Linked DNA regions of Saccharomyces cerevisiae S288C. The protein of the gene in region 2 interacts with the protein of the main gene of each other region in a biochemical or structural test. Each region holds a gene or a part of one and is shown on either strand. Other genes may lie near its edges.

The links. The genes of interacting proteins can lie anywhere in the genome.
Region 1: the proteins of LIF1 (region 2) and NEJ1 form a complex in vitro, tested with the Saccharomyces cerevisiae proteins (2 studies listed by BioGRID).

What each region holds. Positions count from the first base shown.
Region 1 is NC_001144.5:673,889-677,336, reverse strand, and holds NEJ1 (Nej1p), read left to right. Parts: upstream 1-1,881; coding exon 1,882-2,910; downstream 2,911-3,448. Other genes in the region: PDR8 (Pdr8p), read left to right, coding at 1-1,718; YLR264C-A (uncharacterized protein), read left to right, coding at 3,393-3,448. UniProt on the Saccharomyces cerevisiae protein: Involved in non-homologous end joining (NHEJ). Facilitates the transport of LIF1 into the nucleus, where it can interact with DNA ligase DNL4 to repair double-strand breaks (DSB). Mediates mating-type regulation of NHEJ.
Region 2 is NC_001139.9:341,517-345,113, reverse strand, and holds LIF1 (Lif1p), read right to left. Parts: upstream 1,796-3,597; coding exon 530-1,795; downstream 1-529. Other genes in the region: MF(ALPHA)2 (Mf(Alpha)2p), read left to right, coding at 1-323; NBP35 (Fe-S cluster-binding ATPase), read left to right, coding at 2,072-3,058; nucleocytoplasmic transporter NUP145, read right to left, coding at 3,255-3,597. UniProt on the Saccharomyces cerevisiae protein: Involved in non-homologous repair of DNA double-strand breaks. Stabilizes DNL4.

The DNA of each region.
Region 1 (3,448 bases), on a different chromosome or scaffold from region 2:
TGTTTGGCCCCACTTCCTGGAAAACTTTATCTTTGTTTGAACAAAATAAGTTTCAAACTGAGTTTCAAAATTTATGGAAAGTCTTGAAACCACTTCCTGAATGCACTAAATCGCAATTAAATGAAAATGATGTTGTAGCAGATTTGCCTAGTTTTCCTCAAATGGAAAGCTGTATTAAATCTTTTTTTGCTGGACCGCTGTTCGGCATATTGCATATCTTCAACCAAGACGATATTCTGTCCCTCTTGGACAGACTTTTTATTAGAGATACCACGGACAAGAACCTAGTCATCCTCCTCGATTTGCAAGGTAATGCAAAAGATAAGTATAATCTTGGCATTGTACTTCAAATTCTTTGCTTGGGCTATTATAACCAAGATATCCCTTCTTCCGTGAGTCATTTCCTTCACACTTTAAGTGCAGCGTCCTTGTCATCATCGAGCTCAAATTTCGTGGAAAAACTACAATTTTTCTTATTGTCCTATATTAGTGTAATGATAAATTGCACGGACGGTGTATGGGATGCGACTCAAGGCGTTGACTTAATCAACGAGCTATGCCAGGGGTGCATAAGTTTGGGTTTAAATGATATTGATAAATGGTATTTGAACGAAAGTGAGGAAACCAAACAAAACTTGAGGTGTATTTGGTTTTGGGCTTTATTCCTTGATGTATCCACCTCATATGATATAGGTAATCCTCCGTCTATTTCAGATGATCTTTTGGACTTAAGTATATTTACTGCGCAGAATTTCCAATCACCGAGTATTGACTTTAGGAGAGTTAAGCTAATGCACGATTTTTTAGATGTTTCCCGATTCACTACTCGTGAAATTCACAAGAGAGAGATGAACGAAAAATTGACCACTTTTTCATTGAGATTGATTGAATTTATACAATCTAACTTTTCACCTATCGAACATTATACAAATTCAGTTTACTACTCTGATATTGATCCCTTTGATATATTGATTTTATCAAGATCTCTAAGTATAGTTGCTAGTATATACAATATTGAGATGATCATCGCTCAACAAAGCAGAATCATAGATAAGAACAGAATGGTTCAGTTCTTGTTGATATCCATATCAGTCTGTGTTAATACAATGGTATTTCATTTTAAAGAGCCTATCAACGACCAGGAGAACGTGTTAACTGAAGGGCTAAAACTGTCTATTATTCTAATCAATCCACTTTTAATACGAATAGTATCGCAAGTGTACAGTTTAGCATTTAATAGGTTAATCTTCAGGGAGAAGGCATTCCTTTTCCTTATTGACCTTGACACTGGGAAAAAAATACAATTCATTAAATATGAAGAAGAAAACTTTGATGAACTTTTGACAGGATTCGATGTTAGGACTGATAAATTTCTGTCATTTTCAGGAACAATAATAAGATTTTACGAAATTATTGATAGCATATTTGCTGTTAATGAAAGAAATAAGCGATTGTTAAAAGCAGTTTCCAATTTTTATCAGTTAACTTCAACTTTGGCGTTTGAACGCGTAAGTAGGGTTTTATTCGATAAAGCGTCCCAAGCAAGAATAGAGACTGAAAAAATTTGGCTGAAAAAGGGCATTAATATGGAGCACTTCAGTGATCTCATGATTGAAGATTTTATTAATGATGTTTGGAAAACGTTCAAAGAGATTTCCAAAGACCTTTGGTCCATTGACAAAAAGAAATTTTATAAACAATATCATTTCGATTTATAAATGTATTTATGATTGATGTATTTTTTTACATGGATTTTTTCGTCCCAAAAAGGGATGATAGTGTTGGCAGCGGGCAAACACAAAATAGTGTCATATAAGTGGAAACCCTATGGAGAATAACCATAACAACGGCCAGATAGGAGGTTAATCTTACACATGTGTGATGGATTCTGAGTTGAAAGGGCAGCAGCTAAGTGATGCAGAATGGTGTGTTAAAAAAATTAATGGTGAGGGAAATTGTCTCCTATTATTTCTACCGATGTCATCTCCAACCACAATTGTAATGATTGTTTTAGTTTCCTTGGAGCGCTTAGTTCCCTACGTTTTCAAACTTTCACAAACTCAATTATCACAGCAATGCCAGAGCCAAGGTTTTACGGATAGTATATCATTAAATCTAATTAAACTAAAACTAATGGACATTCTACAAGCTCCTCAAGAAATTAACCAAATTGGATTGGTAGATTCAAATTTGGTTTTTAGTTTCGATGTATCTGCGGATATTACAGTTTCCATAAATAGCGTACCTTCACATGTTACTAAGGATATGTTCTATATGATTTTGCAAAGTTTATGCATGCTTTTATTAAAATTGGTAAACCTTTCCACCCAATACCACTATGTACAACGGGATATTTTGAATGAAAAGCAAAAATGCTTAGATTTTCTTTTAATTTCTCTTCGTGATTTAGACGGTGGGAGTAAAGTTATCAGTCAATGGGCTCCTGAAAATTCTAAGAATTATGAATCTCTGCAGCAATGCACAGACGATGACATAATCAAAAAATTACTACATAAAGGAAAATTCCAGCATCAAGAATTTCTGGCGGACTCATTAAAAACATTATTATCTTTAAGAAACAAATTTCAAGATGTGTCGCGGTTTGAAGAATCTGGAGAACTTAACAAAAAAGAGCGCGTCAGATTTCCTGCGGTGAATCATTTTTATAATGATGATTTTGAATTGCAAGCAGACCCTACAAATGAGGCTCGACCAAATAGCCGCGGTAAAATTAAACCAAAGACAGATTTCAAGCCAAAATCTAGAGAAAGTAGTACCAGTTCGCAACTTCGCCTGGAGAATTTTTCTGAATCTGAGGCTACACCAGAAAAAACAAAATCAAGTTCTTCTTTGGTCGAAGAATACCCACAGAAAAAAAGAAAATTTGGAAAGGTGAGAATAAAAAACTAAGGCAAGTCAATTAAACGTCAAAAATTAAGGTTGGACCTTTCAAATAGTTCTATTCCTTTGTTGACGCATTGATAATGTTAATTTATTGAATGGTAACGTTATGCCATTGATAGGGAGCATATAAGTTTATATGTATTAGGACAGTTCTAATTGTTTATTATTAATCTAACGGTAGTTTCAAGCAGTATCTTACATCACTGCAGCTTCTGAGTGTCTAAATGATAAACTGCATAAAAAATAGCCGCGCAAGCTCGCCATCACTGTAAATGAAATTTAGACGCAAAACATAACCGCGGATGTAAACTTACTTAATAAGAGCGATTGGCAAAAGAGCCACAAAAAAAAATTGGATCAATATCTGGTGCATGGGTCTAAAAAAATTAAGCAAAACCACAACACCACGCGTTATGACAGCAGTTTTAGAGACTGTTTCTTTCTCTTCTATTGTATGAAGTAATCAGATTATTATATTGAGTAAGTACATGAATGTAATATTTAAATTGTATTTAACGATAGATGCACCAAAAAAAAAGAAAGT
Region 2 (3,597 bases):
CCGTTTCTGTCACTGCTAGTTCCGATGAAGATATCGCTCAGGTGCCAGCCGAGGCCATTATTGGATACTTGGATTTCGGAGGTGATCATGACATAGCTTTTTTACCATTCAGTAACGCTACCGCCAGTGGGCTATTGTTTATCAACACCACTATTGCTGAGGCGGCTGAAAAAGAGCAAAACACCACTTTGGCGAAAAGAGAGGCTGTTGCCGACGCTTGGCACTGGTTAAATTTGAGACCAGGCCAACCAATGTACAAGAGAGAGGCCAACGCTGATGCTTGGCACTGGTTGCAACTCAAGCCAGGCCAACCAATGTACTGAAAAATGACCCTAAACTACTTCTAAACCCTCTCGATTTCTTTCACGTTCATACAACACCTAGTTTTATTTATTTTCTTTTCAATCTGAGTAGTTGAGTTTTCGATCACTCACATAGAACTATTTTTTGCCATTTAAATAAAGTATTCTCTCAAATGATGCGATACTATAATACTCTTTGCCATATATTACATTCATTCATAAATAGGCTATGTTTCTATATCCGTTTCCGATTCTGTCTGCAAGCAAGGTTCCCTATCATTACCGGATTGTTCACTATGGTTGGAGCTCTTCTTTTCCCCTGCACTTGCATCAGTCTCAGATTCAGAACCAGAAATGTCTCCGTAATCTTCATCCGATCTTCCTGCTGATATTTGAATACCATTGTCTTCTAAAGACACTAAATGTTTTTGAACATCACTGCTACTATCAGATTCAAAACTTATTGATTGTGTGTCATCTCCAAAAGAGGTAATATCATCGTACTTTTCACTGAGTTTATCTTTAGCAGTAATAATTGGCCTTTTAGAAAGTCCGAAAAATTGAAAGTCATCAAAATCGTCGTCTTCCATTTTGATCACGGATTGATTAGATATTTTTCTATTAGCTCTCCTCCGACTTGTGTCTTTCAACTTCTTTTGTAAATTTTGAGGCTCTACTACCGTCTTTCTTCGTTTCATTCTTTTTCCTGGAGAGTTTAACTCAGAAATTGGCTTTTGCACTTCCGTATTAATAAGCGCAGAATCTAAAACATCATCGTCAGACAATTTGATATTATTTTGTCGCAGAATCTCATGAAGCTCTCTTATTTTCTTCTTCTTCTCATTCAACAAGGTTACCATCATTGCTCTGGTTCTTTCATCACGTGTTTCTAAAAGCTTATCCAATAGCTCCCTTTCCCGAGCCAGCTGTTCAACTCGATTTCTATTGCTAGAATCGCTCTCCTTTATATTCCGGTAAGAATCGTTAACACAACAGATATCTTTATAGAGTTTATCTGCCATTTCAAATAAATCAATCTCTCCCTTTTTGACTGGATGCAAGGTAAGTTCAGCGATTTTTCTTATGATCGCCGATGACTCCAACTCCATAACTACTTTCCATACCTCATCATCTTGCATTCTGCACGTCCATTTTGTGAATACGACTTTTTCGTCTAACGATGCAATGTACACTTTGTGACCAGTTAACATTTTGAGTAGTTCATACCACACATATTTCTTAGACTCTTCATCGATATTTTCTCCCGTAAAGATTCGCAAATCATTGATTCCAAAACTGCTTTTGGAAAAAATTCCTGTACCTTCACTTACCAACATTTTCTCTATTCTAAGCCCTGAAAGACTGTTCTCATCTAATGTTTCCAACATAGCGCCATCTTCAATCTGAATCTTACAGAGGCCACGCTCATCTTCTTCATTTTGTTCTTCATTAACCACAGGGATACAGCTAATGAACTCCGTCAGCTGGGACATAGCACCCTACATAAATAAGTCATCCAATGCACAATTCTCTCAGTTCTATGCATTGACACGTCGAAAACTGCCGTTCATCTTATTATTCTTTAATATGGCTTTTCAAAATACGCTTCCGGGTACTTTTTCGGATTCATTAATGGTGTAATTAGTAATGCGTAGAAATATTTTGTATATAATAATAAATAACATGTTTGTCCAACAACTCGTAGGCTAGGCTAAACGTGAAGTCTTTCTGTTTTTGAGAACAACAGTATACATAAGTGATATCCAAGAATGACTGAGATACTACCACATGTAAACGACGAAGTGCTACCAGCAGAGTATGAACTTAATCAGCCGGAACCAGAACACTGTCCTGGTCCAGAATCAGACATGGCAGGTAAGTCCGATGCTTGTGGTGGCTGCGCCAATAAAGAAATATGTGAAAGTCTTCCGAAAGGCCCTGATCCAGATATTCCATTGATCACAGATAACTTGTCAGGAATAGAACATAAAATATTGGTTTTATCAGGCAAAGGTGGCGTAGGCAAGTCGACATTTGCCGCAATGCTAAGTTGGGCACTTTCAGCTGACGAAGATTTACAAGTAGGTGCCATGGATTTAGATATATGTGGACCTTCTTTGCCACATATGTTAGGCTGCATTAAAGAAACCGTCCATGAATCGAACTCCGGTTGGACACCTGTCTATGTGACTGATAATTTAGCCACCATGTCTATTCAATATATGCTTCCAGAAGACGATTCCGCCATTATATGGAGGGGTTCAAAAAAGAATTTATTGATAAAAAAATTTTTAAAGGATGTTGATTGGGATAAACTCGATTACTTGGTAATCGACACACCGCCCGGAACATCTGATGAGCACATTTCAATAAACAAGTATATGAGAGAATCTGGCATAGATGGTGCCCTTGTGGTCACCACACCTCAGGAAGTAGCTTTATTAGATGTACGGAAAGAGATAGATTTCTGTAAGAAGGCTGGTATCAATATTCTTGGACTAGTGGAAAATATGAGCGGATTTGTATGTCCAAATTGCAAAGGAGAGTCCCAAATATTCAAGGCTACCACAGGTGGAGGTGAAGCACTTTGTAAGGAATTGGGCATCAAATTTTTGGGGTCTGTTCCGTTAGATCCGAGGATTGGCAAGAGTTGTGACATGGGTGAAAGTTTCCTGGATAACTATCCTGACAGCCCAGCTTCGAGTGCTGTACTTAACGTTGTGGAGGCTCTGCGAGATGCTGTGGGGGATGTATAGTATATTTTATCAAAAAGAATAAAAGGAAGTGCATTAGAGGTCAAATCGTTTTATAATATAAATATCATTACCTTTAAATCTTAGACCTACTGAAGAACACTTTTACCATATATAATGCTACTAATTACTCCAAAAGCGTTAGCTTCAGTCCATGTTTTACTATTTTTCTTTTTTTTAGAAATAAAAATAAAAAAACTTATATCTTATATGTACACTTCATTAAATCCTGGGCAAACTCACCCCTCAAGTATGCCTTTTCTGGCTGCCCTAGGGGGAGCTCAAGCAATTTGGCCTTCGAATCGCCTATTGAAGGATTGTTTTTCTCCAATATTTTTGATACAATCTCTTGGGACATAACATTACAACATGCGGCCACTTCACGACAGTGCTTATACTGATCATAAAATATCTTCATACCACTAATTAATGAATCGATAGTCTCCTGCGTTTCAACATTATCCAACACAAGCTTTAGATATACTTCAAATACGTTTATACTTACACTCCATTTGTCCCTCTCAGAGTCTGGAAATTCGTTA